Macaca mulatta: one gene and its partner. The protein of the gene in region 2 interacts with the protein of the main gene of each other region in a biochemical or structural test. Links are inferred from orthologs where the notes say so. Each region holds a gene or a part of one and is shown on either strand. Other genes may lie near its edges.

Region 1 (16,870 bases), on a different chromosome or scaffold from region 2:
GTCAGGAGTTCGAGAACAGCCTGGCCAAATGGCGAAACCCTGTCTCTACTAAAAATATAAAAATTAGCCAGATGTGGTGGCGCACACCTGTAATCCTAGCTACTCGGGAGGCTGAGGCAGGAGAATTGCTTGAATCCGGGAGGCAGAGGTTGCAGTGAGCCGAGATCGCGCCATTGCACTCCAGCCTGGGCGACAGAGCAACTCTGTCTCAAAAAAATAAATAAAAATAAAAAAGAAGAGGTAGGCGTCACACCCCATTTCCTCCTCTCCAAGTCCAGCCCTACCTAACTCCCCACCACTGCCATGTCTCTTGTGAGCAAAACATATTCCCTTTTAGTTTAGCTGATTTCTACAACGAAACTAAGGGAAAATGTTTGACTTATTTACTTACAAGACCTAGCACCCGGTAGGTCCTAAATAACTGTTCACTAAATAAATGAATAAACACTCCCAATAAGCAAAAATATTTTTAAAAACTAGGAAGCCATTGCTTCTCTTCTCTTGCCTCCTGCTTACAAAATAATGTTGAAATATCTCAGCATGACACATGAGCTCTTGCACAATTTTGGTCCCAAAGTGTTCATACCTTAAAAATGCCTTCAGCCGGGCTCAGTGGCTCACCCCTGTAATCCCAGCACTTTGGGAGGCCAAGGCGAGAGGATTGCTTGAGGCCAGGAGTTCGAGACCAGCCTGGCCAATATGGTGAAATGCCGTCTCTACTAAAATTACAAAAATTAGCCGGGCATGGTGGCATGTGCCTGTAATCTCAGATACTTGGGAAGCTGAGTCAGAAGAATCACTTGAATCCAGGACGCGGAGGCTGCAGTGAGCCGAGATCGCACCACTGCACTCCAGCCTGGGTGACAGAGTAAGACTCCGACCAAAAAAAAAAAAAAAAGCCTTTGGTTTAGCTATAGATGGCCAGGAGCTGCTTATCTGCCATTCAGACCCTGGGTTCCTTTCCTAATCTTTGCTTTACCTCAAATTCCAAGTCAATCAATAACTCAATTGTTTTTGTTGTTGTTGTTGTTTTTTGTTTTTGTTTTGTTTTGTTTTGTTTTTTTGAGACGCAGTTTCGTTCTGGTTGCTCAGGCTGGAGTGCAATGGCGCAATCTCGGCTGACAGCAACCTCTGCCTCCCAGATTCAAGCCATTCTCCTGCCTCAGCCTCCCGAGTAGCTGGGATTACAGATGTGTGCCACCATGCCTGGCTAATTTTTGTATTTTTAGTAGAGATGGGAGTTTCACCATGTTGGCCAGGACTCCTGATCTCAGGTAATCCGCCCTCCCCGGCCTCCCATAGTGCTAGGATTACAGGCGTGAGCCATCACACCCGGCCAATGAATCAATGTTTACGGAGCACTTCCTGTATACTAGCTAGGTGCTTTGTCATCCATCATCGTGTTTAAAGGTCACAGCATACCCCTGAGAGATGTGTCATTCTCTCTTTAAAGATGAAGACACCAGCTAGCTGCGGTGGCTCACGCCTGTAATCCCAGCACTCTGGGAGGCTGAGGTGGGCGGATCACGAGGTCAAGAGATAGGGACCATCCTGGCCAACATGGTGAAACCCTGTCTCTAATAAAAATTAAAAAATTAGCTGGGCGTGGTGGCATGTGCCTGTAGTCCCAGCTACTCAGGAGGCTGAGGCAAGAGAATTGCTTGAACCCAGGAGGCGGCGGTTGCAGTGAGCCGAGATCATGCCACTGCACTCCAGTCTGGTGACAGAGTGAGACTCCATCTAAATAAATAAATAATAAATAAAAAGATGAAGACACTGAGGCTCAGAAAGAGACATGTCTGTGGTCACCTAGGTAGTAATCCGACTTTGGAGCCTTCTGTCTCAAGCCCACCATTCTCTGCTACACCTCAGTGGAGCTTCAGCTTTTACAGGGACTGCAGGAAAGTTGGTGATGCTGGGGGAGTCTGGAATGAGCCCATTCAAGGTCTCCTTTCCAGATACCTTTGGAGACTGGTCAAGGATAGAGTGTCACCATCCTGCTGTCTTTCATCCTGCCTGCCCCCAGAGGCATGCCAAAAGGAAGCTGCGGCTGCCCGGGAAGAGGCTGAACAAGCTCTAAGAGAGCGGGACCAGGCCCTGTCTCAGCTTCGGACCCACGTGGCAGACATGGAGGCAAAGTATGAGGAAATCTTACAGGTAAGCACCACCTCCTGGATCCCAGTCATCCCAGTACCCAGGACTCCCCCATGCCCACAAACCCCAGCTAGTGTGATGACTGACAACCCAGGGGTAAGGAGAAGAAGTATCTCCAAGGGAGCCCCGCTCTATCCTGAGGGCAGAGAGGGGATACAACCATGTCTACTGGGCAAGGAAAGCTTACAAACCAACCTGGGGCAGCCCTCACTCCTTCCCTGTCTCTTCCTGGGGGCTGAAATATTGATGTCTGCAGGACAGTCTGGACAGGCTCTTGGCCAAGCTGAGAGCCATCAAGTCACAGTGGGATGGGACGGCATTGAGACTCCATGCCAGGCACAAGGAGCAGCTACGCCAGTTTGGACTCACCGCCCTGGATCTTTGAGGCCATCAGCCCCTAGTCTCTAGTGTTCTCTGAGGCGCCAGCAATAAAGTGTCTTGATGTAGAACTCAGTAGAGCTGTGGGCTCTGGCCTTTTGGCAGAGAGGAGTGGATCTTTTTTATTTTTATTTTTATTTAGTTTTCTTCTTTTGTTGTTTTTTTCTTTTGTTTTGTTTATTTTTAGGAGTGGCTCTCATGCAGACATCTCAGTTCTGGGTTGACCCATTATCCCTGAGACTCAGTGATAGGAAAGAAATTTGACCAGGTCTCACCTTTTCTCCTGCAGAAGCCGCATCCCACCCCTTGAGCCTGAGGCCCTTTTGGTCCCTTCACACCACTGCCCCTTACCCCCACCAACACAAACACAGGCAGTCAGATTTATGGGGAACGGCCACTTCTATAACAAATGCAACGGTGACCAAGCACCACCCTCCGGCAATGCTGAGGCACCCACAGAAGACAGGCATAGCTGGTCTCCACATTTTTGCATTACACTCAAGTGTCCTGGAGTCATATCTAGAAAAGGTCCAGATGGCTTCAATCCTAGCCAGACCCACAGCCACACCTTCATCCCTGGGACACAGCTCTCCAAACTCCCATATGACATCCTCTGGAGCCTCAGACTCCTTCAGGAACCTGCCTGAGGCCTCCATCCACACCCTCTGCTAGAAGGTGGGCCTGCAGGAAGTGGGGGAGCACCTGGGCCAGCCTGTGATCGGTGGTGCCTGAGTTCCTCCAGTCTGGCTTAGAGAGAGCAATCCTGCCTCCACCACCTCGGGCTGGAGAGTGAAGACACAGTAGCCCCTGAGTATGTCTGTACCAAGCAGAGGTGCTCTACAGCAGATCCGAGGCCAGAGCCCAGTCCTGTGCAGAGAGAGGAGGTAGAAGGTCATTCCAGGTGGCACCCAGAAGAGTTCCTTTTTCTTTCTCACCCCTGCCCTGCAATGCCCAGGAATGGGGCTTATTTCACGGGTCCTTCTGTCCCCACCTACCACAACCTGAAGTCCCAACCTGCATACCCCACACTGCTTCACCTTGTACCTCGCCCACTCTGCCCTTCTTTCTCACTCCTCCCTGCCCTCTGTAACTACTCACAGTCCCATCCGTTTCTTCTTCCTCACCTCTGCAGCCCCAGTGGGAATCCAGGCTTCCAAGCCCCGCAGAGACCTGGCTGCCAGCTTCAGGCAGAGGGGTGGCTCAGCCTCAGGCAGCTGCTGAAGCCTCTCCAGGTCATTCTCTCCCCCAACAGGATACCCATTCACTTCCAGAATCACATCTCCCACTTGCAGCCCAGCCCGGGCAGCTGAGCCTCCGGGAGTCACCTGGTGGTGTGGGGGCATGCAGAACAGGGGACACCAGGGGAAAGTTTGCTGGCTTAAGGCTCTGGGAGGGAAGAAGAGGAAGACTGATCAGGCAGCAAAGGATTGAAGGGATCCAAGATGCATGGGGCATCAGTCACCTGGGAGATGAAGAGACGAGGCCCACTGGCCACACAGCTGAGTCGGAAGCCATAGCCGCCACCAGGCCCAGGGTACAGAAAGCACTGTCGGGAGCCCAGAGGGACAGAAGGCACGCCTGTGTCTTCAAGCGAAGGGACCTCTGTCTCAACCAGTGAGGCTGAGCTGCTGCCCTGGGGAGAGGCGGGAGCCTCTGTGTTCTCCAAGAAGAGGAGTGGGGATAGGCGAACCTGGAAGGTGGCAGGTAGAGCAAATCTGTTGGACCCAAGCCCTGCTCCACTCCTGCCCCAACCCTAGCCCCTGCCCCTCAGCACGCACCATGCTGAAGAAGCGGTCAGCCTCAGGGTCGACGACAATGAGGGAGACACAGGAGCCCTGCGCCTGGATCCTGGACACTGTCTCCTCATGGCCCAGCCCCTCCACGCTCTCCCCAGCCACAGCCACCAGCCGGTCCCCAGCCTGCATCCCAGCCTTCTTGGCTGGCAGTCCCGGGTCCACTTCCCACAGGAACTGTCCTGGGGCATACACATCCTCACTGCTCCCCTCCAGCTATCCTAGGCCACTGTGTGCACACCAGGGGACTGACCCCGGAGTGAACAGGAAGAGGCGGCCCAGGGCCAGAGCTCAGACAGGGACACCTCTTCTGTGCACTGAAAGGTGTATATACACTTGTGTGCCCACCCCAAGGCCCACCTTCCCCCACCACCCCCAGGGCTCCTACTCACCAGGGCGACCGTCAGGGCCCTTTTCCTCCCGGAGCAGGAACCCAAAACCCTGGGGCCCTTTCTCTAGGTGCAGACAGCGGGGCTTGTTGGGCAGTGCCCAGCCCTCTGCCAGGGGTGCAGCCAGGGGCAATCCCAGCTGGCGACACTGTTCCTCCACCTCTGGCCCTGCCACCAGCAAGGTCACCTGCTGTCCACTCTGCCAAAGCTGTGGGGACCCAGCAGGGCATCAGTATAACACCTGGGCAGGGAGAGAAGAGGCATGCTCCCCCCACAGCCCCTCCTCCCAGGCACTAAGTGGAGCCTGGCACAAACTGTAGAGGGGCAGGATGGTGATCAAGGTAGGAGACCAGATAAGGAGGTTAGGTGCATAGGGGAGGAGGCGTCTTCCCGAGGTGGGGCCCAGGCCCAGACTGGGGGAGGAGAGTGGGAGACAGGCAGCCACACCTTCCTGGTGAGTTGGTTGTGAGTGAGCTTCTCCACACTGACCCCATTCACTTCCAGCAGTCGGGCCCCGGGGGGCACCCCTGCCCGCTCAGCTGCTCCTCCAGTACTTAGCACCAACCAGAAAGGACCCTGATTGCCTAGAAATCAAAAAAAAAAAAAAAAAAAAAAGTTCCAGTCTGTTGCCTGCCTGCCCTGAACAGGGACTGAAATCCCTCATCCTTGCCACCCCCTCGCACCCTCTGGGCTCACCATGGGTGACGCCGAAGCCAAAACCACCCTCATCTTTCACTATGTGGCACAGCCGAGGCCGGACCCCTGGGCCTAGGGTGGGACAGAGGTGGGCATCTTCTCCCAGCTGGGCTCGGGCCACGTCATGTGCATGCCGTGCCAAGACTGTCAGCAACACCCGAGGACCGCTGGCCCGGATGCGGCGTACCACCTGGACAGAGGGCACGTGGGCGTGGGTTTGGTCTAGACCCTCTTGCCAACCCCCAGGACCTCCCTGGAATCCACATTTTTTTGCCATGGGAATAGGCTTTTTTTCTTTCTTTTCTTTTCTTTTCTTTTTTTTTTTTTTTTTGAGATGGAGTTTTGCTCTTGTTGCCCAGGCTGGAGTGCAATGGCACAATCTCGGCTCACTGCAACCTCCGCCTCCCAGGTTCAAGTGATTCTCCTGCCTCAGCCTCCCGAGTAGCTGCGAGTACAGGCGCCACCACCACGCTCAGCTAATTGCTGTATTTTTAGTAGAGACAAGGTCTTGCCATGTTGCCCAGGCTGGCCTTGAACTCCTGACCTTGGGTGATCCACCCGCCTCGGCCTCCCAAAGTGCTGGGATTACAGGCATGAGCCACTGCGCCCAGTGGGAATCAGCTTTCTAGATGCTTTCCCCAACCCCTCTGACTTGGGCACTCCTAAATCCTGGGGTGTAGGGGAGTGAGGCTTGTGCCTTGCTGCCATAGTGCCCAGGGGACTGAGCAACCCGCTTCTCTTTCTGAGGTGCTAGCATGCTCTCCCGGACCACAGCCTTACCACCGCGTAGTCTTCGTGTTCCACAACATCGTTGTTCACCGCCAGGATCCTGTCTCCTTCCTGAAGACCCTGGCGCTGGGCAGAGGTGCCTGGGTCCACCCTGCACACCACATGCCCAGCCCTGCCCAGCTCCTGCTGCAGGTGGAAGCCAAAACTCTTGCCCTTCTCTTTGCTCAGCAAGCAGAAGCGAGGCCGCTCCAGGCTCCAGGGATCTGGAGGGTGAGGTGGGCAGCAGAAAAGGGGGAGGAGAGGGCACAGCCCAAGTACAGGTTCACCATGTGCCTGGCAGACCCTGTGTCCTGATACAAGCAGTTTCTGCCTGGTTGGGTGTTGGGTGGTGGGGTGAACACTTCATGGGCAGAGGGACTGGGACAGGAGAATACGCCTGGCCCCTCCTATCTCTACTCCCAACCAAGGCTGTTATCAGAGGGAGACTGAGTGAGTGGTTACCAAGGAGATGGGAGGCTGTGTGGAGTTGTGGTGCCTCCAGGGAAAGGGAATGGTTGTCAGTGGGTGAGGGAGTTACCAGAGGGGTCGTGGTCTTCGGCCAGTGAGAGGACAGGATTATCAATGCCCAGCTTTGGGTTAAACTTAAACTTCCTGCAAGGAGGCAGGGGAAGCAGGTACAAGCTGGCAGCTGGACTTGGGTCCCAGGATCTCCTTTAGGTGCTAATGGCAGTGAAGCGCTTCCCTGCCTCCGATTCTTTCTTCCCCTTGCCCCAACCCTCATGGCACTTACAGAGTTAACGAGGCTGCGTCCTGCAGATCTACTGGGCAAAGAAGTGGGTGAGAGGAGGAGAGTCACATTCTTCTCCCCAGATGTGCCTCTTCCATTGGCATAAACTAAAAGGACTCAGGGGAACCCCCAAACTCAGGGCATGCCCCCTCCATTCTGCTCCAAAAGGGTCTTCTCTTCTCACTGCCATACGCACAGGAATATTGTGCGGTCCTCTCCCTTCCCCTCCCCCCAAGTCCTTGGCACATAAATCTGAGCATATCAGTACAGGGTGTGGACCAGAAAGACAGACATATCAACTCACTACTTTTCTCCTGACTTGTTTACCTGCCTCAGGGCTCCAAGCCCCAAAATCAAGTGTGCCCTGGTCCCAAAGCTTCAGCCTCCAAGTCGGCCCCCTGCCTGTCCCAAAGTCCCCTGCAGAGGATTTCTCCTGGCCTCCTACCTGCAGCTTTCTCCATAGCCGGATCAGCAACCCAGTGCTGGGGTAGGGACAAGGTTCATCCAGCCGCTGACCCTCCCACCCATCCCCTCCCAGGTCCCGCCTCCTTGAAGACGCTGTGGAAGCAGTGGGGTAATGGTTAACGGCAGTGAGAGTCTTTTTTTTTTTTTTTTTTTTTTTTTTGAGACAGAGATTAGCTCTTGTTGCCCAAGCTGGAGTGCAATGGCACAATCTTGGCTCATCACAACCTCTGCCTCCCAGGTTCAAGCAATTCTCCTGCCTCAGCCTCCTCAGTAGCTGGGATTACAGGCATGTGCCACCACACCCTGCTAATTTTGTATTTTTAATAGAGATGGGGTTTCTCCGTATTTGTCAGGCTGGTCTCAAACTCCCAACCTCAGGTGATCTGCCCGCCTCGGCCTCCCAAAGTGCTGGGATTACAGGCGTGAGCCACCATGCCCCGCTTAGTCTTATTCTCTGGGAAAGTGTGAGTTCATACTGACTCTATCCTGGGCCCGAGATTTTTCTGGAGACCCTGAATCTGACCCCGTTGCCCCTCTGTGCAGAGAAAGGCATATTGCTGGTCACTAACTCCAAGCCTGGGGGGTAAGTGTGAAAAGGGTGATAAGAATTCTATGGCCCATGGTATGGTTTGGCTGTGTCCCTACCCAAATCTCATCTTGAATTGCAGCTCCCATAACTCCCTCGTGTCATGGGAGGTACCCGGTGGGAGGTAATTGAATCACAGGGGCAGGTTTTCCTGTGCTGTTTTCATGAGAGTGAATAAGTCTCATGAGATCTGATGGTTTTATAAAGGGGAGTTCCCCAGCACACACTCTCTTGCCTGCTGCCATGTAAGATGTGACTTTGCTCCTCATGTGCCTTCTGCCACAATTGTGAGGCCTCCCCAGCCATGTGGAACTGTGAGTCAATTAAACCTCTTTCCTTTATAATTTTTTTTTTTTTTTTGACAGAGTTTCACTCTTGTTTCCCAGGCTGGAGTGCAGTGGCGCTATCTCAGCTCACTGCGACCTCCACCTCCTGGGTTCAAGCGATTCTCTTGCTTTAGCCTCTCGAGTAGCAGGGATTACAGGCATGCGCCACCACACCCAGCTAATTTTGTATTTTTAGTAGAGACAAGGTTTCTCCATGTTGGTCAGGCTGGTCTCAAACTCCTGACCTCAGGTGATCCGCCCACCTCAGCCTCCCAAAGTGCTGGGATTATGGGCGTGAGCCACCATGCCCAGCCTCCTTTATAAATTACTTACCCCGTCTTGTGTATGTCTTCATTAGCAGTGTGAGATCGGAATAATACAGTCCAGCATGGCCAAACCCCATGCCAGTATCTTGTTCATGGGCCCCTCCAGCCTCCACTGCCTCTGAACCTAGTGCCCAAGAACCACGTGCAATAGATCATGGTTGGTAGTTTAACCAGAAAGACCAAGAAGAGTGCCCGTCCTGGAAGCACCAGGCAATAAAGAAGAGGTCACAATCGGTGGAAGGCACACAGCTTTTTAATAGCAGCAAGTCAGGTGCATCTGCCTCGCGGGGCCACCAAGCCATCGTACCACTGTGGCAAAGGGGGCATGAGGATGAGGAGAAAGCACCAATGCGAGGGCACCCTCAGTGTCCACAGGTGAGCATAAGTCATGAGGGGAAGTTTCCAACACATCTGGATGGCAACACCCCTGGCATGGCAGACATAAGATGTGAGCCCCTTGGTGGCACAATCAGAGGCTCCTTGAGAGGAGGGGGAGGCAAGGTTGGTGGTGGTGCTTCAGGGCACTCTGGCCATCCAAATGCCACATGCTTTGGTCCTTCTTGATGAATGGAGAGGAGGCATGTTCCATCTCCAAGCCCGAAGCATTGATTCACCATCTTTAACTTGGAGATTCCAGACTCGGTCCTGATCGAACATGCCCTAGGAGGGCAACTGGCACAGCTGTGCCCATTCCTTTGCCCCCAGACCTGAAGGAATCTTTCTAGGGGGAGCAGTGCAAGCCAGGAGGCCACAGAGGGAAGAGGTTTAGGGCCAGTGGTCACATAGTTAGGTGCCTGCCGCCAGTGTCTCAGCTTCCAGAGCCTCCCAGCTGCTCTAGGAGGCCCCTCACCTCGCCCTCCACTCGCAGCAGCTGGGCCTTGCGCCAAGGATTAAGGGTAGCACCCCGGCTATCTTCCAGATCCCGCAGGAGGAGCTCAAGGTGTCGCTGGACCCGGGCCCGGTCCCAGCTGTTGAGGTTCCGCTGGACTTCGCTGAGGATCACTGACCAGTATTCCGACACCGCCGTCCCCTCTGTCAGTGACACCACCACCCGGGCACCACCTTCAGCAGCACCCCCCAAGTCTCGCAAGACCTGGCGGCCCTCTGAGCTCAGCTCATTGAAGTAGAGGCTGGCAGGAGAGAGAAAGTCGATGCCATTCAGTAGAGCTCTGAGAAGGAGGGCCCGAGGGTAGACAGATGGAAAGCAGGGGGCCTCACATCTCATCTCCTGGCTGCAGAGTGCGATCAGGTAAGTATCTGCAATGAGCCAGAGATGGAGGGTGCTGGCCAGTGGGAAGCAGGGACTAATATTAAAATTCTTTTTTTTTTTTTTTTTTTTTGAGACAGAGTCTCGCTCTGTCACCCAGGCTGGAGTGCAGTGGCATGATCTCGGCTTACCGCAACCTCCACCTCCCGGGTTCAAGCGATTCTCCTGCCTCAGCCTCCCAAGCAGCTGGGATTACAGGTGCGCACCAACATGCCCAGATAATTTTTGTATGTTTAGTAGAGACAGGGTTTCACCATGTTGACCAGGCTGGTCTTGAACTCCTGACCTCAGGCGATGCGCCTGCCTCGGCCTCCCAAAGTGCTGGGATTACAGACATGAGCCACCGCACCTGATCCTGATACTAGAATTCAGTGGGACCAGGGACAGTAGGCCTTTAGGAGAAATGGTGGTAGGGAACTGGGGCAGTTTAAGGGCCAGTCACAGAGCGGGTGGGTTGACTCAGAGCTAGGTTGACAAGGATCAGTCAGAAACCAGGAATAGAGGACAGGTGACAGGCCCAGGCCCAGAAGCACTCCCTAGGATTGGAAGAGCACAGTCGAGAGATGGAAGTAGTCTGAAGGGCTGGGGGCAATGGGACCAGGGACAGGACTCACTGCAGCAGTTCCAGGGAAGGGTGCTCCCGGGCAGCTCTGGCCAGGGCCAGGGCCGCTGTGTCACCAGCACCATTGTAAGCCACGTTCAGCTCCTGCAGCTGCCGGTTGCGATCCAGCTGGGCAGCCAGCAGCTCCAGACCTTCGTCCCCAAGGCCGGTGTGCAGCAGGGACAGGTGTGTCACTGAGGTGTTTCCTGCCAGCCCCTCCATCAGCAGGGCAACACCTGCCGCCATCAGCGGGTTGTTGGACAGCCTACGGCCACGTGCAACCCAAGGTTATGAGGGCCCATTGAGAGGAGGGGGAGGCAAGGTTGCTGGTGGTGCTGGCAGCCTTGATGGGGCAGCGCGCTGTGCTGGGTGTCAGGACGTGGGCCAAAGAGGGCCCTGCTTGGGGCAAGAGGAGCCTGGACATAGAAATGCAGGCCCAGGAGAAAGGGTAGAGCAATAGGGGGTGTGGTGCCTGGCAGAGGAGGGAGAGTAGGGGAGCTGGCCTTTCCTTCCCTCTTCCCCCGACCCCCTTCTTATCTATTCCCTTCCTCCTCACCATTTCTGTTTCCCTTCTTCTGCCTTTTTCACCCCCTCCACAGCCTCTGCTTCTCCCTTCCCTCTGACTCCTGTATCCTTCTCCCTGTTCTTCCTTTTTCTCTCCTCATTTGCCTCCCCTTACACCAACCAGAAACTCGGAACCCAGGTGCTCGGGTTCCCCATGTATCAGTCAACACTTCAGGGGTGTCTACTGAGTGCCCAGCATTAGGGTCATCCTCAGGAAGCTGCAGGAAAAATCCTGGAAGGGGATCAGTGGCACTGTTACCAGGCAACTGGCCTAGGTATTATTCCACCCTCTCTCCCTGCCTCCCCCAGGCTGTTTTTAGCCACGTGAGAGGTTTCTTAGCACCCATTACAGGTGGCATCTTTCCCTGCTGCCCCGCTGCTTGCAGTAGACCTAGGGGAAGTGGAGGGGACCAGTCAGGGCCTAGACCCACCTCCATTTACTATCCCTTGGACGGGCCTGTGCCAAGTATGCCAGGAGGCAGGGAACTCACCCTTGACCTTAGCTGGCCACCAGGATGCCCCACTCCCAGGGCACTCACCGCAGTGTGGTAATTTGGCACTGGTCATGTAGCAGCAGGTCTCGGAGGTCCTTGCAGGCCTCAGGGCCCAGGCTGTTGAGTTGCAAGCTGGAGCAGAAGGTGGCCAGAGGGGAGGTGAGAGACCAGGGAGGGAATTCAGCAAGCAGTCTGTCCATCTACCATGACCTTTTTTCATCAGCCTGCCTCTGGGAATCCATACCTGCCTCCCCTTTTTTGAGAGACAGGGTCTCACTCTGTCACCCAGGTTGGAGCACAATGGCATGATCACAACTCACTGCAGCCTCAGACACCTGGGCTCAAGCAATCCTCCCATCTCAGCCTCCTGAGTAGCTGGGATGATAGCCACATGCCACCACACCTGACTAATTTTTAAATTCTTTTGTAGAGACAGGGTCTTGCTATGTTGCCCAGGATGGTCTCAAACTACTAGGCTCAAGTGATGCTTCTGCCTTGTCTTCCCAAAGCAGTGGGATTACAAGCAGGAGCCACCAGGGCTGGCTCCTCCCTTCTGCTGCTCCTGTCTCCTCCGCCCAAACTAGATTTCTTCATCTGGTCATTCATCAGTACCTCTGGTTTCCCTGGCACTTTCTCTTCCCACTGCTTCACCTCCAACCCTCTTCATGCCTGTGCATGAGGATAGGTCCTTACCCCAGTTTCCGGGCACGCAGTAAGACAGGCATGAGTGTGCGCAGCCCAGCAGGGTCTAGCTGGCAGGAGGCCAAATTCACCTCATCCAGGGCATGCCTTCCGCTGCCCAGCACAGATGCCACCACTGTGCACTTGACGGGTGTCATACGCACACCTGCCAAGTTGAGCTGACGAAGGGAGCTGAGCACCTCGGCGGAGAAGCGCTGGTTCTGGAACTCGTAGTGGAAGAAGAGGTGGTCAAGGAGCTCCGACGGGGGTAGCACCTGCCGGCCCAGCTTGCCCAGCTTCTTCTTGATGGCCTGGGCATTCTCCAGGGCATCCAGGTTCTTGATGGGGCAGCCAAGCTGAGCTAGCACAGCTCGGTTGTGGGCAGAGAGAAGCCCCCCCATGAATATGGGGAAGAGCTCGAAGACTTCATCCTCAGGAGGCTCATCTGGGTGGCGCCGGGGGCCCTCCACGCCTAGGATACTGGCGCCCATCTGGTCCAGAACATCATCATTGTAATAGTCCTCCTCTCGGAACATCTCCAGCACCATGGCCTGGGCCACCGCCTCCCGGCTTTTACCCACCATGCGCCCAAACACTCGTGGAACCACCTGAAAAAGAAGCAGGGGAGGGTCACTGTGGCCTTCCACATGCCTGTTCAGCCTTCAAGGCTCAGCTTAAGGTACACCCCTGTGACTGCTCCAGCCCTGTGGTCTCCCCGTGAACTTAGCATAATTTGTCTGATCATGCTACTCCCCTGCTGCGACACCTTCCACTGCCTATGTGGCAAACTCCAAACATTTAGCCTGGAATATGAAATGATTTTTAAAACTAGAGATGGGGTCTTGCTGTGTCACCTAAGCTGGTCTTGAACTCCTGGGCTCCCTAGCCTAGGCCCCCAAAGTGCTAGGATTATAGGCATAAGCCACTGCACCCGGCCCAAAACTTTTAATAATTTGGCCCTAATTTGACTTTCCCAGGGTCATATCTCAACACCTGTCTCATGTGCTGCAGACATTAGGAACTTCTTTCTCTTTCCCAAACACCCTGATACATTTTCAAACCCAGGAGGTGGTAAGAAGGAATTAGCATGTATTACACACTTAGTTTGGGACCAGGCTAGGTGTCACAAATACATCACCATCTTCAACATCATTGTTGTCTCAGCAGCTACGATTGATGCAGCTCCTACTGCTTTAAGGTCTTGTGTGATCTGGGCCCTGCCAACTACAATGCCTTCATCACAAGCCTCTTGGCCCCACTCACTATGCTCCTGCCTTTTTGGCTTTTTTCATCTTAACAGTGCCAAGGTCAGGCCGGGCGCGGTGGCTCAAGCCTGTAATCCCAGCACTTTGGGAGGCCGAGACGGGCGGATCATGAGGTCAGGAGATCAAGACCATCCTGGCTAACACGGTGAAACCCCATCTCTAATAAAAAATACAAAAAACTAGCCGGGCGTGGTGGCGGCGCCTGTAGTCCCAGCTACTCGGGAGGCTGAGGCAGGAGAATGGCGTAAACCCGGGAGGCGGAGCTTGCAGTGAGCCGAGATCGCGCCACTGCACTCCAGCCTGGGTGACAGAGTGAGACTCCGTCTCAACAAAAAAAACAAAAAAAACAAAAAAAAACAAAAAACAACAACAACAAAAAAACCAAACAAAAAAAAAACACAGTGCCAAGGTCTTTCCTCCTTCAAAGCCTCCATAGGCCCGGTGCAGTGGCTCATGCCTGTAATCCCAGCACTTAGGGAGGTCGAAGCAGGAGGATCACTTGAGCCCGGGAGTTCTAGACCAGCCTGGCCAATATAGCCAGACACTATCTCTATCGAAAAAAAATTTTTTTTTTTGAGACAGAGTTTCGCTCTGTCGCCCAGGCTGGAGTGCAGTGGCGCAATCTCTGCTCACTGCAAGCTCTGCCTCCTGGGTTCACGCCATTCTCCTAACTCAGCCTCCTGAGCAGCTGGGACTACAGGCGCCCGCCACCATGCCCAGCTAAGTTTTTGTATTTTTAGTGGAGACGGGGTTTCACCGTGTTAGCCAGGATGGTCTCGACCTCCTGACCTCGTGATCTACCCACCTCGGCCTCCCAAAGTGCTGGGATTATAGGCGTGAGCCACTGCACCCGGCAAAAAAATTTTTTAATAAAAAAAAAAATTAGCCAGGCATGGTGGCATGTGCCTGTAGTCCCTTCAGCACTGGAGGTCGGGGATGCAGTGAGCTGAGATCACACCACTGAACTCCAGCCTGGGCAACAGAGCAAGACCCTGTCTCAGAGAAAAATAAAAAAATCCTCCAGGGTGCTGCCCCTTCCTGGGGCATTTCCCCCCAACTTCTTCCCTTGGCTAATGCTACAAGGGTCAGATGACATGCCCTTCCACAAAGAGACTCTCCTGACCCCTCAAACCAGTTCCCCCACTACACACTTTCATGGCATCTGGGGCTCCTTTCCAGGCATTTGCCGTAATTTTTCCTTATATGGTTACATCGATATTTTTGTGCTGAAACTGCAGGAAGCAGCAGTTTCCTTCTGGGAGAGGAGCTCCGACTAGATCAGAAAGGGCAGAAGCCTGTAGTTTCCTCAGATTCTAACACACTGCCTGGCACACAGCAGGTACTCAAATATCTGACAAAGAAATAAATGTTGGGGGTTTGTGATATCTTCCCCCATCCCTGCAATGGTAGTGAAAGGGAAGAAGGGTCATTCCTCTGGCAACAAACCATGACATTGTTTTGTGGCACCACCTTTAACGTCTGGGTTTTTTTTCACTTTTTGATTTTTTATTTGTTTAGAGACAGGGTCTTGCTATGTCACCCAGGCTGGAGTGCAGTGGTGTGATCCTAGCTCACTGCAGTCTTTAACTCTTGGGCTCAAGTGATTCTCCTGCCTTGGCCTCCTGAGAGCTGTGACTACAGGTGTGCACCACTGCACCTGGCTATGTTTCATGTTTACATGTGAGGTTCCTTTCATAGAGGTGATAGTACCCCTTCTCCAACACTAACCTGTGACAGAATATGTCACCCTGTGAAGCTGAATCCACAGGATTGTGAATAAACAGATGGGCTCAGTGCTCTGCCAGGGCAGCCCTCCCTCCAAGAGGGCTTGGGGGTGTGGGGCTGACAATTCTTGTGGGTTTTCAATAACTGGGGGCTTTCTGAATCCCCTCGGGAGACTGCATCCTCTCGTTGCAACTCAGGTCCAGCAGGCACATCCTCAAGGCGGGGTGGCCTCAGCAGCAGCTGTGACCTCCTATCAGAGGTGATGGTGTGAGAAGGAGTGGGCTGCACGAGCCTGTTTCTTTTCTTTCTTTTTTTTTTTGAGACAGAGTATCGCTGTGTTACCTAGACTGGAGTACAGTGGCGCGATCTCGGCTCACTGCAACCTCCACTTCCTGGGCTCAAGAGATTCTCCTGCCTCAGCCTCCCAAGTAGCTGGGATTACAGACACGTGCCACCACACCCAGCTAATTTTTGTATTTTTAGTAGAAATGGGGTTTCACCATGTTGTCCAGGCTGGTCTCAAACTAAGTTTGTTTCTATGTGTGACAAACAAACAGCCTAGGCCGGGCGTGGTGGCTCACTCCTGTAATCCCGCACTTTGGGAGGCTGAGGTGGGTGGATCACCTGAGGTCAGGAGTTCAAGACCAGTCTGGCCAACATGGTGAAACCCTGTCTCTACTAAAAATACAAAAATTAGGCCGGGCGCGGTGGCTCAAGCCTGTAATCCCAGCACTTTGGGAGGCTGAGACGGGCGGATCACTAGGTCAGGAGATCGAGACCATCCTGGCGAACACGGTGAAACCCCGTCTCTACTAAAAAATACAAAAAACTAGCCGGGCGAGGCGGCGGGCGCCTGTAGTCCCAGCTACTCGGGAGGCTGAGGCAGGAGAATGGCGTAAACCCGGGGGGCGGAGCTTGCAGTGAGCTGAGATCCGGCCACTGCACTCCAGCCCGGGCGACAGAGCCAGACTCCGTCTCAAAAAAAAAAAAAAAAAAAAAAAAAAAAAAATTAGCCAGGCATGGTGGCAGGTGCCTGTAGTCCCAGCTACTCGGGAGGCTGAGCCGGAAGAATCACTTAAACCAAGTGAGCAGAGATGGTGCCACTGTACTCCAGCCTGGGCGACAGAGTGAGACTCCATCTCAAAAAAACAAAAGCAAAAAAAAAAAAAGCAATTAAATAGCACTTACCATGTGCCAGACCCTGAGGATGAGTTCCTTTAATCTTCATGCTAGGCCAGTGATATGAGTTCTAGTATTATCTCCATTTCACAGATGAGGAATCTGAGGCACAGAGTTAAGTAACCTGTCCAAGATCTCACAGCTAATTAAGTAGCAGAGCCTGGATTTGAACTCAAATAGCTGAGTTACCAAATTCCTGTGCTTAGTCCTTATGCTTTGGTGCCTATAAAAAGAAAAAGGTGGCTGGGAACACTGGTTCACACCTGTAGCCCAGCACTTTGGGAGGCCAAAGTGAGAAGATCACTAATGAGACCCCATCTCTACAAAATTAAACAATTTTTATTTTTTAATTTAATTTAATTTTATTATTTTTTTTTTATTTTTGAGAGGGAGCCTCGCTCTGTCGCTCAGGCTGGAGTGCAGTGGCACAATCTTGGCTCACTGCAACCTCCGCCTCCCAGGTTC
Region 2 (16,434 bases):
AAAATGGAAGTAGGTTGAGGAAAAGATGGAAAGTTGTCCTTTCTCAGATATTTTGCTATATATAGGTCAAAGAAACGGGATAGTAGCTGGAGATCAAGGGAAAGTATTTTTATGCTAATGAGAAAGGTCCCACGAAGAGGGAGGTATTGCATATTACTTGCTCCTGAATATAGGAGCAAGAACACCAGCAGAAGGTGGTGCATGAGGAGAGGTGCAGTAGGCTGGTGCAACCAGTGGAGAGAAACGAGAAAATTCTTTCTGGTTGCATCAAAAATTTTTTTTAAGTTTTTTTTTTTTTAAAAAGATATAATAAAGTCACTGGCTGAAAGTGCAGGAGTTGGAATTATTGGAGCACTTGAGATGGGAGAAGAAGGTGGGAAAAAGCTATCTTAGGGAATATAATAAGGAATTTAGTAGGAAAATCTAATAAAAAAGGTTGTTGTACAGTTTTGTGTACCAATATTTGAGATATGTGATCACAGACACAATGCAACTCGAGGTTAAATGTTATCAAAGCATTACCTTTATTAGTTGAGCGCTACAGAAAGCTAGGCACTTGGGCCTAAGCACCAGGTGGAAGGTTAAAAAAAAAAAAAGCCACACTGTCATTTTTATAACTTCAGAGTTATGTTGACATTTGACTTTGTGTTGTTGTCTAAACTAGGCCAGTTGGGTAAATAAACTATTCTTTCCAAGTATAAACATTTTTTTCTGAAAAAGTAGAAGTATACATCAAACTAAACACCTTGTTTACTCCATTGTAAACTCAACGCTAAATTCAGTTAACAACTCAGTAAGTAAAATGACAACACTGAGTTTTTACTTCAGAAGTCACAAGGACCTTTGGGATTAACATCATACAAACGTAAAATTTGAAGGCACAGTCATATCTATTTCCTACTCTCAACATATGCCAAGGTGAAAACAAAAAAGTTACTGTATACGTTTAGCAATGGCATGGGTAACAGCAGTATGATGGGAATCAATAACCAGATTAATGCCCATAAACATCCAGGAAAGCCTACTTGTGCTATTTGGCAGGGAAATAACTCACATATTAGCTTTGATATTCAAACAAAAGAATGTGATTTTTAAAATGTGATCAAGTGCAAATACTGATACTTTTCATAGACTGTATTATAACATAATAGGTCCTTGCAAAGATCCTTCAGTGCCACAAGATGAAAGGCACAATATCAAAGCACAGGTCACAAAGCCAGGATGCACATGTGAAAAACCAGAGGAATGAAAATGCCTTACAGAAACTTTCATGGAGATTGAACATGCAGAGTAGAAATGCACCAAACAGAGGTTTTGACATCAATGTGTAGAGGCTACTATGTAAACCAAGAAAATTAATACAGCAAAGAGAAAGGAATTGTATACATCCATGGTAAAAAGATGTTTTTAGGTAAAGAAACATGTAAGTGCATGAGGAGCTTAAATATAAAGTCAAAGTTGTAGAAGGTTGGGCAAAGAATTAAATAGATGTAAGCACAATATTCATTTAATATTCTCCTGCTGTTTTCCAACAGAAATATTTCTATACATTTATGAGACCCAACTCCAAAAGCATGCTGGAATGGAATTAAAGACAGAACTACAGAAGCTAAAAAGAGCTGATCAAACTAAAAAAAAAAAGTTAGAGGTAAAGAAACCAACTTTAGTATAAATCATGTTCCGATTAAATTACAGCTCAATGTGTTATGAAAATGCTTAAAGAAAAGAAGAAGACACATGGACCAGAAGAGAGCATTAAAAGGGTTTTCTTTTCCCTGGAGATATTTTTTATAATGCTCTTTGTTCTGACAGGAGTTGATCATACAAATTTTATAGCTAAATAACTGTGTGTGGTTTGGGAACACGAACACTGTCTCAGAGAACAAGGAAAGACACTTAAGCAAAAAGCATAATTTTAAAAAGAGTATAATAATAGTGTTGCACAGTCATTCTTAACTTGGGTTTCTAAGCCATCTACAAAAGCAGTGCTGAATGAATAATTTTAAATACAGTAGCATAAAAATACTTTAAAAATTCAATGATGAAGCTATCCAGACCAACCACATAGTCTGATTGAAAATTATGCATTTGGTTTTTTTAATAAAAATGGGTAAATGTGCATCATTTCCTTTAATTTCTCAGTCCTGCTGCAATGGGATTTGTGCCCCTGATATGGTATTAGCACACAAACATTACTATAATATTAATGGCTCTGCACTCTAGAAAACCAAAATGAGAGAAATAACACAACTAAAATGTGGTCTTTGTACACACTAATACAGTATACAAATGTGTGGCAATATTTAAATAATAGTATAAAAATGTTATGCTGCTAAATTTGAGAGCTCAAGATAAGGAAGGAATTCTTAATAAAGATATCAAAAGCATAAAACATAAAGGAAAAGACAATAAATTGAACTTTATTAAACTTAAAATCTTCTTTTCATCAAAAGACTCTATAAGCCAAGCCACTAACTGAGGGATTATGGTTGAAATGTATAGAACTGACAATCCATAACTCATAAATTCCTACAAATTAATTAAGGAAGAAAAAACAATCTAGGTGACAAATGAGTAATCAACATGAATAAGAAATTAATGTAAGAGAACAGCAAAAGCCAATAATTATGTATCCAGATGCCCTACATTTTTAGCAATCACTTCACATCTATCAGACACCAAGTGTTGTTGAAGATATGTAGCTATGAGAACTCTTGCACTCTCTTGATGGGGATATATGTCAGTACAACAGACCTGAGGACAATTTGGCACCACTCAGTTAAGCATGGGTGAATTCTATGACCCAGTAGTACAACTCCCAGGTATTGGTCCTAGAAAATCCTGAACAAGGAAACAGATGAAAGAATGCTCACTGCAGTATTAGATCTTTATAGTCGCTATCCATGAGGAGGAAAGAAGAGATAAGGATTTAATGAAAGATACACAGTGACCCTCAATTTATCTGTAATGTTTTATTTCTTAAGCTCAATATAGGGTATATAGTTCTTCCTCATGCTATTACTCATACTTTTTTACTTGTCTGAATTTTTTTCATTAAAGTTAAAAAGATGATAATGACTTACCAAGCTATCCACATCTATGCTGGAGTTTACAGCCCACTGCAATGTACTCATGATATTCATGGCTAAAGTCAGGATAATACCAACTGTTCCTTCTCCTTCTCCTATAGATGCACAAAAGACATAAATGAAACTCATGTTATTAAATTTACATTTCAATTTTATGCTGATTTTAACAATTTTTAAGTCTCAGTTCATCACAGCATTTACTAATAGAATAATGTTCTGCATATAGTAAGTATTCAACCAGGATTTTAAATCAAAGAGTGATAGAATATTAGGAAAGTGTTGCCCTTTTTAAAAAATGTTACTGATGTTGGAGGTGCTGTTGGTATTGGGTAGGTACCATATTTGTCTCTTCTACTATTATTCTCTAAGTAATAAGAGAACAAATATTAGAATGGGCAATGGGAAAATATCCTGTATCCAGATGAGCTCCTATACAAAGAAACCAAAAGCAGGGGAATAGTGTGTCCAAACAGCATCTGCATGCTTAGATGTTTAGATCTGCGCCTTTGCAAGGAGGACATTTGTTAATTGCATACTGTTGGGAAGTAAATGGACTTAGAACTTCACCCCACAGTCAGAAAACTAACAGGTCTGCCATTTGGAAAGAGAAAATAATACCCTCTATGTAAAAAAAAATAAAAAAAGAAAAAAAAAAGATTAGTGCACCTGGGAAGAATGATACTTAAGTGTTTAATTACAATACATTTTTTTTAAGGGCTAAAAAGGACCGCTAATTAAAACTCGTAAGTATTCAGTATTATGGCCATAAAAATTCTCTAAGAGGAATGTTCTTAAATTATTATAAAGTTAAACTATCAAGTCCCAATCAAGAGATCTTACACCTGTAATGCATGATAAAATTGTCAAAAGGTTCTACAGTTGGGAGAAATAATTTCTCTTATTATTAATTGAAATTTTTGTTTCTGCAATTCCTCTAACAGAAGGCATAATATACAGAGCATATATCTGTAGGTAATACTAAATTATTTTCATATAGGTTAGATTTATCTAGACCCCAATATATTGCTTGTTCTGAAGGTTAAGATGAGAAGATAAAATTTTAATAATAATAAGTCAGATAACATTTATTTAGTATTTACCATGGACCAGGCACTATACTAAGTGTTTTGGACAAATCATCCCATTTACTATTCACCCACACCTATGTAATAGGTAATATTATTGTGTCTATTTACACTTGAGGAAAATGAGGGGCTTAGAGAGCTAATTAACATTTTCAAGTTAACACAGCTGAAGACCAGTCGAGCCAGGGATAATAATAGCTGGGTGACCAACATCCACTCTGGCTGACCATCTGATTTGATGGGTAAGTTCTGTACTATAATGATTGTTAAATGTTTTGATTATTGCCCCTAATAAATCAAGACTCAATCACACTCAACCATGGTATAGCATGTGTTATATTGGTTTGAATTAATTGTTAACAAATCTTCATTTATGTAATTCAGCCTTCTTTGATCCCATTTTCAAATAACTTAAAAGAATTTTTTAAAGTTGCCTAAAATTGCAGTACTGATGAGGATTAGTACATTTGCCTGCCCATGTATATTCCTTCATAGAGTCATTTCCCACTGCCCTAGCTGTGAGAACAACAAAGGTGGCGAACCCACTATCCTCATAGCAGTGGAGTAGACTGCAGGTGGACCCCTGAGCCAAAAGGAACCTGTTTTCTGTTCTCTCCAGGACTTTGCAATTGTACAGAGGAGCTCTCCTGTTAATTCAGGAGGCCAGAATGGAGACACTACATAAAGTCAATGTTGCATAGCCCTGGTTCACCAGGAAAGCCAGTTAATTCAGGAGGCCAGAATGGAGACACTACATAAAGTCAATGTGGCATAGCCCTGATACACCAGGAAAACCAGTTGATTCAGGAGGCCAGAATGGAGACACTACATAAAGTCAATGTGGCATAGTTCTGGTACACCAGGAAAGCCAGTTAATTCAGGAGGCCAGAACAGAGACACTACATAAAGTCAGTGTGGCATAGCCCTGGTACACCAGGAAAACCAGTCTTCAGAGAGAGAAAGGAATGAAGCAGTCACAGAAAGGCATGGACCCAGGACAGATATAGACTCAAGAAGAAGAAGAGTTGCAGCTGACTCTCTTGTGCCTGTTCCAGCTTCTTTAAGAGTCAAATGGCACCACCTTCTCGTTGTTCCTTGAGGCCTTCCTGTAACTCCAACAAATGCCTGCTTCTGGTTTGAGCAGAATTCTGTTCCTACAATCAAATGATCTCCCAGATTTGGCATTGATTTGGCATTTACTCTGCCAATATTCACTGTCACATATAACAACTTACTTCAATACTTATCATAAATACTCAGAAATTCAAATTCTTAAATTAGAGAAAACAAATTTACCTACATACATTTTTATTTTACTTATTATGAAATACTTTGTTTTTCACTAAAGATCCTAAAATCAATCCAGAACATTTGTGTTTAAAACACATGGCACTTTCTTTTTTTTTTTTTTCTTTTGAAAAACATGAGTCTTCCTTTCTTTTCTGTGACAGTTTTACTTTGTGCAAAATTTGCAATTAGATAACAAATTTTACCTAGTGGAGATTTAAGAAACAAAACTTACCGACAAGGGGAACTGTGTGTGTGTGTGTGTGTGTGTGTGAATGCAGATGCTTCATTTCCCTTCTTTAGGGATCTATTAATTTTGAAGCTAGGACTCTTCATCAATATGAGTATGAAGAGGTGACATTTTTTCCCCTTCAATCACAGAATTGCTATCTGACAATCTGCGTGCCTTGGTTTTTAAAACTGTGAAAACAGGGATAATACCATATATATCCAACTTCAAGTAAATTATTTGTTCAACAATAAAACAATGGAAATTCAAAGAAATCATTTGTTCAATGATAAACCAACAAATTTGTTAATTATTAAACTCCAAAAAAACTCTAAAGATACCAAAAATTGATAACCTATAAGAATGCAGCATTTTATTCATTGACAAAGTTTTTACTAAATGCTTAGCTAAAATTAATCAGTTCATAGTACCTGTTGTTAAAATGGAAATGAAGGTAACAGCAATGAAGAAGATGACAAAAATCATTTCTATTCTCATTTGGAACCAGCGCAGTGTTGATAGGTACAAGAACCAGTTGGCAGTATGTAAATTCAGAGCTTTGTGGAACAGAGTTTCAAAGTAAGGCTGCCGTCCGAAGGCACGAAGTGTCCATAGTCCTTTTAAGCTTGTAACAAGATGAGTGAAAATTGGACTCCTGCCTGTGAAATATTTCCATAGAAAACATTGCAAATAACATAAACACAGAATGCAATTTCATAACACCATGTACCTGAAAAAGACTAAATTAGAGTAATCATATCGCAAATGTCATTGGTTAAAAAGATTTTTTCACACTGGTGCCATTCTTTGAATAGATGTGATTTGTTATTTTATTAATGAGCTACTCTCCTTTTTTACTTGGCTACTAGAGATGGGAACTTAAAAAATCACCACCAACATTTATTCCTTTTTCTTGGCTACCACTGGGAATTTTCTGGCTAATTCTAAATTAATTATCACTGAAAAAAATGTTAAGACAATTTTTTCAAGTATCTACATTAAGGAAGTTTATGTGACTTGATTTAGCTAATAACCTACAAAGCAGAAATACACTGAAAAATTATTGCCTGAAAATGTACCAACACTAAGGCTGTCACTGCAAAATGTGATTCCCTAACAGCTCAAGTAGAGTTTGGGGGAACATGAAATGGCAGCTCCAATACATGAAGGAAGGGTGTCCGAAGACAAAAAGTCAAAGGGACAAATTTGGTCAAGTATCATTTGGGAACCCAGAGAAACCTTTAGTAATAGCAGCACTATCATTTTTTAATTTAATTGATATAAGTTTATTATAAATGAATGTCCTGTACACCAACTGTGGTAAGATTCTATATACCCATTTTAAAACCAAAATGAAGTCACATGGCCGTTAATTAAGAAAAACAATCCATGTGTACTTTGTAATACAGTTTCCTTTTATAGACACATACATGTAGAAAAAAATTATTGTTATATGATGTGAAAGTTTAAAAACAGAATTTTTTTTGAAAAGTAGATTAACAATAAAGAATCTCAAATAGCTCTTGTAGCTTTTTTCCAAGATGAGTATCACACATTCACTGTCATACCTTCAGATTCCAGTTGTTTGAGTTGCTGTGAGGTTTGGAGAAAATATGCTCTCAACATAATAAAAGCCACTATCACTGGCACTGTTGCAACAAAGATGTAGGGTTGTAAAACCGCGACAACTGCTATAGCTCCAATCACAATTAATAACAACTGTGAGATCGAAGAAAACATGTTTGTGAGTAAACGTTTTCACATTGCAAAGTGGACAAAGTGTGTCAGTGATTTATTTCTAAATACTCTCCCCATTCTATTCCTAGTCGGAAAGTAACCATTTGCAAGTACATTTTTCATAGGCTCTATGAAAATTTTAAAAATTGTTCATGTCACTGATAACATTTTTGAAGTTTTGAAAACATGGTGTTCTTTGATCTTGGGATATTTTCATTTCCCAGGCACTTTAAAGTATTGTATGATAAATACATTTTAAGTGAATATTAATTTAACATAAACTTTTTAAATAATTTTAGTATGAAGGTAAATCTTAGGATTTATTTTGGTTAGACAGTTTTTGAAAGTTGGGCGTTCATCTTGGAGTCTTTTGATTCAGAAAGTTCTGCTTGAAATACAAGCTTGTCATTTAGGCAAGCTATCTAACCTTTTGGAGCATATTTTCTCATGCTTAACATTGAAATAAATCATACTTAATAAATTCCATATTTGTACATTACACCAAATACATACATTTTTAAAAGGTACAAAGTCTGCCAACACTTACTTCACAAAAACCCATTTGAATAAAGTATAAATAAAGTAACTGTCAGCAGAAAGGAAAAAAAATAAACACTTTATAACATCCATATGCTATTCAGTGAGGCAGTTCTCTACCAGTTTCCATAAGTGACACATGCATTTTCAACTGATATAACTTTAGAACTGAAAGGGACCATTATTAGGTTTATATTCCCCATTCTACAAGTGACAAACCTGAGACCCTTCAAGATAAGTGTCTGCTCAGGGTAAAATAGTGGGAATCTGTGGAAAATAACCCCGATTTTCAATTTTCACTATACAGTGCTCCAATCCAGAAAGCAAATTTGTCAGAACATTGTCAAAAGTTAGAAAATAGAATGAAGATTATATGAGATATCAAAATACTCAAACTCAAAGAAGCAAAGAACAGAACCATGGGCAACAGGACAGGGGATAGAGGGAAATGGGGAGTTACTAATCAACAGGTATAAAATTTCAGTAGTGCAAAATGAGTAAGTTCCAGAGATCTGCCATGCAACATTTTGCCCATGGTGAACAATATTGTATTTTACACATAAAAATCTGTTAAGAGGGTAAACCTCATGTTAAGTGGACTTGCCACAATAAAATTAAAAATTTTAAAAGAGAAAAGTAATAGAAAATAGAGTGAACAGAAATATTTTTTAAAAAGAAAACTTATAGGTATGCTTTATTTTGTGCAACAGATCTGCTTCTGAAATGTCATGAATAGAATTAAATTTTATTTGTCTGAAACTAAGTATAACTAGAGGTATAACACAATTAAGTATAATCAGAGGAGTTCACAATTTAAAGGACCCCTGTGATTAATCATTTAACAAAATCAAAATTAACCAAATTTGTACTGTATTTGGATTGTCGTATATTATGCTCTCTTAATATGAGACTCTCTTACAAATAAATTAGGTAAATTAATATAAAAGACCTCTGCTTAATCATCTGTGAAACAACAACAAATGAATCTTAGCATTAAAAGTTGAACCGGGCCAGGTGCAGTGGCTAACACCTGTAATTCCAGCACTTTACGAGGCTGAGGCAGGTGGCTCACTTGAGGTCAGGAGTTGAAGACCAGCCTGGCCAATGTGGTGAAATAATACAAAAATTAGCCAGGCATGGTGGTGGGCACCTGTAATCCCAGCTACTCTGGAGGCTGACACAAGAGAATTGCTTGAACCCAGGAGGCGGAGGTTGCATTGAGCCAAGATTGCACCACTGCACTCCAGCCTGGGCGACAGAGTGAGACTCCGTCTCAATTTAAAAACAAACAAACAAAAAACAAACACGTTGAGCAGAAGTGATTCAAATTGGCATAAAAGAAAAAATTTGAGAGCCATCACGTATGTCAAAAATGGTAATTTATAAAATGAATATTTAAAAATTAACTCTTACAGAGGAGTTCTGAAATGAGCCTCAAATAATTATCAAGAGGCACCATTGGCAAATACTTTCAAAATCAAGTCAAGAGGTTCACATTCCAATTTTTATCTGATGTAATAATATTATATTTGGGACAAGTTATTTACACTCTTAACATGAAAAACAAATGTCAGCATTTAGTGACACAGGACATGTTTCTTTGAATGCATGAATTCAAAGTATGGATTTAAATATTCCATCAGCTGCTTCTAAGTTATATCTTTAAACAGAACAACTGAAGGATATCCAAAATGCCAAAGTTCACTTGGAACAGTAAATATACTTGTGTCAATCATTTCAGATGAGGCTAACTGACAGTCTGATTTTTCTGCACCTGCCAATGTTGGTTATATATACACACTTACGTGATAATACTTCTTTTGTTTTATATGTTCAATCAAATACAGTATTATTATTTTGCAGGGGTGGGGAAAGAGCAAGAGGGGACAATGACTCATCCCAACATGGGCAGCATCCTATTCCAACTGTTTCTCCAGGGAGATCACTGAGACTGTGGTATTTGCTCTCTGGAGCTTGACCTAAACCAGTCAGGAAGCTCAGGAAGCTGTGCTCAAACCTGGTCCAACAACCACAGCTTACAACACTCCTTAAATCCTGTCACGTATGGAGACCTGATGTCCCAAGGTCACTTTCACCTCCTCCACTGCCCTTTTCTTCTCCACTCTCACCACCAGTCAGTCACCCCAACCCAAAGAGTCAGCCTTTGAGCCAGGCTTCCCTGGAGGCCTATTCACATCTATCACTCAGGGACAGCCCTCATAAAACCCTAGATTTTTCTTTCCCCTTTCTTTTGTTCAAAAACTTATCTTTGCTTCTCCCTCTTCCTTATGGTCCTTACTGTGGGGGAATGGGCTAGCTACTCTGTGCTAAAATGTTCACGGTGAGGCTAGTTTCAAGTGTAACCCACCCAGGGAATCCATCTTCATTCTAATACAGGCCTTTTGCGGGGAGGTTGGCTTCCATAAAATAGCGATGCCAATGCCAAAATGTCACACTTTGCGGCCAGTGATCTGGGGAAAGATAGCCCTTTGTGCCTCTCAAATCACTCCCAAGTAGACAGCTATTACATCTAAATGTGGGATTGCCTCAGGTCTGGGCCAGATAAACAGTTCTGACTTGTTATTGAATTTACTAAACTTACGTCTATTTTGAAGGCTTTGGATAATCACAAAATTAATTCAATAGACAGGACTTCAACTCTCAATCAAATAAAAATTGAAAACGAAATTGCATTTGCTTTTGTTATTATTTAAAAAACAACATGGCAAATAGACATACTTAACAGTACTTATTTTTACATACCTGGATGAAGTCAAATATGGTAAGAGGCAGAAGATCATCCAAAATTGCTATATCTTTGGAGAATCTATTAAGAATCCCACCTATAATATACAAGATGACAAATTCCTCAAAAGATATATCAATATATTCAATACTAAATTTGGATCACAGTAGACTCATTCATAACCCAAATAAGAATTAGCATGTAATCAGATAAAGACTTAGAAAATTTTGTTTCTTTCCAAACATTCTAAATAATTATATGTTCAAGTTATTGTCTTGTACTTTTAAACGTTTTAAAAAGTTTCAGATTCCTGTAAGATTCAAGTAACAACCAATGTCTTTGAAATAGATTTTACTATAAATTATGTTAGGAATAGGTGGGTATTCATCCTGCTATTACAATCTTATTTTTGCAACCTTGCATTTAATGACAACTTACTCAATACGCTGTCACCATCTCCTCCATTTGTATTCCATAACATAGGGGTCTCCTTTTCCTCTGACTTCCATACCTTTTTGACATACCTCTACCAAAACCCTGGCTGCTCTCTCTCCCTGCCTGCCCCACTGTCTGGTCCTCCCTTGTCATACTCTCTTTCTACCCTCTTCATGGACAATCTACATTTCAACCTGTCATCTGAATCATGGATTCACATTTGTAAGGTTGATAACTTGTTGCTTCAATTTAAAAAGGTTATATACAAGTGTCTACTATGTACCAGGCACAATACTAGGCACTGAAATAACTGAGGTGAATAAGCCATGCTCCTTGTCCTTGAGAAATTCATTGTCTAGACAGGAATTAAACAAACAATTTGATAAAATGTAACATAATACTGTACAAATAAAGTGATATTGAATCTTATCATTTACCCCCCATAAACTGCAGGATAAAGTCCAAAATTCCTAGTTTAATATTTAATGCCTTGCATAATTTGGCCTCAACCCACCTACTTAGTACAAGCTTCCTCTGCTCAAATATCCTGTTTCAGCCAAACTGGTCTATTCTTTAAACACACTCTACACTTTCCTACCTCCCTGCTTTCCCCATGTGGTTCCCTCCATCTGAAACCCCTTTCCCCTCAGCTCTCATTGTCAAAATCTGTTTCCTCCCTTGCTCAACTCAAATGCCCCTGCTGCAAGAAAACATCAGTGTTTTCTCCAGCTGGGATTAATCTCTTCCTCTGGATATACTTAATACATCTTGTTTGCACCTCTGTTATAATGACTATATGCATGTCTTATATCACAGGAACTTATAAACATATCTTAACTCTTTTTCTAGGTTATAAATTGCAAAAGGTCAATGGGATCATGCCACACTTATTTTGTATCACCCATAGCCCCAAGAAAAAAGGCCTTATATGTAGGAATTATTTAATACATATTTATTAATACATTCTTTGGCATATTTAATTAAATATATTTGTATCTTTCCATGATAATCAAAAATTGAAAAAATAGCCATTGGTATTTATAAACAGTGTTTAGAAAATGAAATTTGCTTTGGTGGAAAGAAAAAACCATCCTGGTGCTTATTATATTTCAAATGGTTTGGAACCAACTATGAACAGCATTAAAGGGAAACAGGAGCTTGGAAAAGAAGAGGTGGAATGGCCAGTGCACCCTCTGTGGGAACAACACCCCACAGAAGGGAACCACGGGGAACTTATATTGATTTCCCACTGGCTATGTAGCAGGCAAGTAAATTGCCTTGTTTCATTCTCACAAAGATCCTCTGAAATATTCTTTTCCCCACTTAACAGGTGAGGAGGCCAAGGCTCAGGAGAGTCACTTGCCCATGATCACTGCTCTTATAGCGCCAACTCAGAGCTCAGGCAATGCTCATGTTCTTTCCACTGTGCCACATGGCTCATGTCTGACTCTTCTAGAAATGTGCGAGAAATCCCCTGCCTGCTCTGGGTCTCAGATTTCCATAAAAAATAAAATCAATGGATCAATTAATTGGACATCTTGAGTCTAAAATTCTTAGCTCCAAAACAGAGGATGGTGATGAGTATATCCAAATGAGGCAAGATTTCAGCAAGACACATGGGCTTCAGAATAAATATCAAGATCTTCCTACATACTATAACACTGAAATTTTGTCATCCAGAAAATATGATGGGTTTTTCTTATCTTGAGTTTTTAGATTTCTGAAAATTTTAGTCTTGGAATTTATTCCTTGCTTTATATCAAATGTTTCTGTGTCAATTCCTCCTCTCACCTGTGACCTCCTCCAGGGCAAGAACTGTGACTTATTCATCTTTTCATATCACAGAGTAAATGCCTCAACAGAGAAAGTGCTCTCAGGTTGCTGTGAAAAAACTTGGGGGAATCCTTATTAACCTCAGTCTTTCAGTGCAAATTTGTCTAATGAGGAATCAACAGAATTGATTTCTTCCAAAGTATCTTATTAGTTTTTAAAATTTTTAGTATCTTTATTTTACTACTCTGACTTTCTATTACTTCAAATATGATAATACAAAAATAGTTTTAAAATACATTTGGGATCCCCTCTACCATATAACTTTGAGCAGTTACATGAAATTAGATTATTCTACCCCATCAAAAGACTTAATCAATACAAAAAAACATATTTTCTTTGATCACTTTAAGTTTCCTGCCCTTTTGAACAATATTATATATTGGCAACAAGATGCCCAGAAGAGAGCTAGACCAAGTATTTGAAAAGAGAGGTATGACTGACCCATAAGGGCCTTCTTGTGCTGCTACAGTCCCACCAACATCACATTCTTACAAACCTAGCTACTCTAATTATCTAACACAGAAATATTAGGAGCAACAACATATGATAACCTATAATATCTGAGAAATGTGCATGCTAGTCAAAAGGAGGTTCAACAAAGGACAGATGCCTCTGTGCAAAAGCCAGCACTGCCATTAGAAAACCAACGAAACCACAGGCCCTATTGATGGTGGATCAGCAGTTTCATTTCTTAGTCCTAGTAAAGTACCTGCTTTCAACGTGTTGAGGGTTGACATAGGTGCTTGAAGAACAGAATGTAACATTTTGTGGTGTAAAATTTTCGACACTGTGATTAGAGTATGCACCAGTGGTAGACCTCTGAAGAATCCCATAGCAAGCAAAGTGTCGGCTACTCCCACGTAAATGTAAAACACATAATACGAACTGGTTCTGGTGATAATCACTGCATAGCTGTTATTTCTACTATAAGTACTATTCCCTTTGTCTTGAGGAGGAGTGCTGTAAAGCAAAAGGGAAATTGTTATTTGGCAGCCAAACTTACTAATTGAATTTCCAATACATGTAAATGGAACTAAATTTGAGTCTAAAGAAATACAATATATTGCATTAGAAGAGTGTGCACCCTTAATCTCAAAATCTTACTATTATTGCAAGAAAATAGATATGTTTTCTCATTATTGACAGAGATTGAGTTGTTCTTTATTAAATTAAAACATTTGAAGAAAACTGTAAAAGTGTAATGTTATTTCAAATATTTTTATTGTGTTTCACAGAAACTGAACAGAACTATATTCTTTAGAAACTGCAGGAACTGTACATGCTCACAATTTATTCATTTTATTTTATTTTATTTTATTTTATTTTATTTTATTTTAGATATAGGATCTTGCTATATTGTCCAGGCTGGAGTGCAGTGGCTATTCACAGTGATAGAACACTACAGCCCTGAGCTCCTGGGCTCAAGTGATCCTCTTGCGTCAGTCTGTGGAGGAGCTAGGACTACAGGTATGTGTCACCTTACCCAACTAATGGTCATCCTTTAAACAAAAAACCTTATTTTTCCACTACCATAATGCTTGGGAGAAATGAAACAAAGTAGATTACAATACATACAAACAGTGATTTACAATATTTAATCAACAGAAATAAAACACAATCTACACAATAGGACATGGAATACTCACTTTCCAAGGAACCACAGCACAACCAAAGAAGCAGCCACCTGGAATGGAACAAGAAAACAGTTGATTTTTTTCTAACATCTTCACCTAAATTCACATCGCACCATTTGATGTGTGTACCAATATCAATGTACACACAATTTCATCTTCCTTTGCTTTGTGTTCCTGGGTCCAGCAGCTGTAATAGTTGTTCTAAGTACTATTATTTGGATGAGAACACATTAAGTTAACGGAATTCAAATTTCACTGCAGTAAATTCTTTGCCATTTATCTCCTTTATTCAATGGAAACGACTGAACCTCACAAGAAAGCCAAGATCACAGCTGAATGTTTTAAATAATAAACATTTTTTAAAGAAACTAATCTCAGCCTGCTGGCAGATAATTAATCTGTTTATTTGCTATAAATAATTTCATTTGCCATTCAATGATTATAGGGGACTAATACCTGTGAAACCAATTAATTACTGGAAAAGGTGAGATTAATATTAATGGAAATGAATTATAAGTTTCAGGCCACGCACAGCGGCTCACGCTTGTAATACCAGCACTTTGGGAGGCCAAGGCGGACATCACTTGAGGCCAGGAGTTTGAGGACAGCCTGGCCAATGTGGCAAAACCTCATCTCTACTAGAAATGCCAAAAAATATTAGCCAGGCCTGGTGGTGCACACCTGTGATTCCAACTACTCAGGTGGCCAAGGGACCAGAACTGCTTGAACCCAGAAGGTAGAGGTTGCAGTGAGCCAAGATCACACCACTGCTGCACTCCAGACTGGACGACAGAGTGAGATTGCCTTCAGTAATTTACTAATGGAACAATAACCAAAGTAATGTTCAAAGACTGGTCTAGTCATCATAATATAAAATTATTTCGTGGCTGTTTCCACATAGAACTACCAACCTAAACTGCTTAAATTGACTAGAACAAAATATTTTCAAGGACTTAGCATAATACTTTTTAAAAATATTTGGTACATATAGAAACAATAGGGTAAGCAAGTTCTGTCATTTCATTTTCAAAATGTTTTCAGGTTATAAAGTTTATTCAGTTTATGATAGAGTGACCGTCATAGGTGATTAGGGTAAAAAGGAAAAATATTTTTATTTTCAATTTTCTCAGGGCTTTAAGAATCATTCCATACCACATAGAAAACAGCATGCTTAATATCCAGATTTCAATGCTTCACAAGTCAAATGACACCCTAAAACATAAACCAACTGTCATAAAGCTGCTCTAAAATAATTACTATTAGTCAACAGCAGCAGTGGTATTATGGGAATATACTACATATCTACTACTAATAATGTAAAGCCACTCAGGGATTTCTAATCAACAAGCAGAAGGGAAGTCATAAAGAAACAGGATAAAGCAGTTCTATAACATATTCTTAACAATCATAGAATGAAAGTATTAAAAAGGATCTTCAGATATTCCAGTCAACAACAAGACTCTCTAGGTGTTTTCAAAAGAACCAGGAAACTGCTTCCTAATGTATTATTTTCATTTCTTCTCCATCTAGTCAATGATGCACTGCCAAGCAGGGGTTCTAAGAATTAACATAATATATATATATATTTTTTTTTTGCCTATTTCTTCGGTGCTAATGTCTAAGAACTCACAGAAGATACTGCCCTATAGCAGGGAAAATGTTACAAAATACAAAAGTAGAGTCACTTTCTTTCCAAAATGATAAGTGCTAACAAACTGAATAGACCAAATTAATTTTTTTCACTTTAACAGCTTTGAAGAAGTTTTTAAAAAGACTACATACTTCATATTTCAAAAGGGAAGCATATTTTACCTAATCTATA

Evidence for each region.
Region 1: the proteins of CFTR (region 2) and NHERF4 form a complex in vitro, tested with the Homo sapiens proteins (2 studies listed by BioGRID and IntAct, with this or other methods). The link is inferred for Macaca mulatta from reciprocal best matches to the Homo sapiens genes CFTR and NHERF4.

Annotation. Positions count from the first base shown.
Region 1 is NC_133419.1:119,865,655-119,882,524, reverse strand, and holds NHERF4 (Na(+)/H(+) exchange regulatory cofactor NHE-RF4), read right to left. Parts: upstream 7,463-16,870; 5' UTR 7,388-7,462; coding exon 7,372-7,387; intron 6,961-7,371; coding exon 6,930-6,960; intron 6,791-6,929; coding exon 6,717-6,790; intron 6,403-6,716; coding exon 6,191-6,402; intron 5,601-6,190; coding exon 5,411-5,600; intron 5,299-5,410; coding exon 5,162-5,298; intron 4,923-5,161; coding exon 4,718-4,922; intron 4,508-4,717; coding exon 4,311-4,507; intron 4,223-4,310; coding exon 3,995-4,222; intron 3,858-3,994; coding exon 3,657-3,857; intron 3,400-3,656; coding exon 3,370-3,399; 3' UTR 2,913-3,369; downstream 1-2,912. Other genes in the region: DRC12 (dynein regulatory complex protein 12), read left to right, coding at 2,027-2,157, 2,416-2,562; NLRX1 (NLR family member X1), read right to left, coding at 9,438-9,759, 10,511-10,762, 11,601-11,687, 12,249-12,844.
Region 2 is NC_133408.1:157,138,487-157,154,920, reverse strand, and holds part of CFTR (cystic fibrosis transmembrane conductance regulator), read right to left. Parts: intron 14,663-16,434; coding exon 14,625-14,662; intron 14,446-14,624; exon of another isoform or gene 14,317-14,445; intron 13,939-14,316; coding exon 13,688-13,938; intron 10,808-13,687; coding exon 10,728-10,807; intron 7,410-10,727; coding exon 7,259-7,409; intron 6,350-7,258; coding exon 6,122-6,349; intron 3,185-6,121; coding exon 3,084-3,184; intron 1-3,083. UniProt on the Homo sapiens protein: Epithelial ion channel that plays an important role in the regulation of epithelial ion and water transport and fluid homeostasis. Mediates the transport of chloride ions across the cell membrane.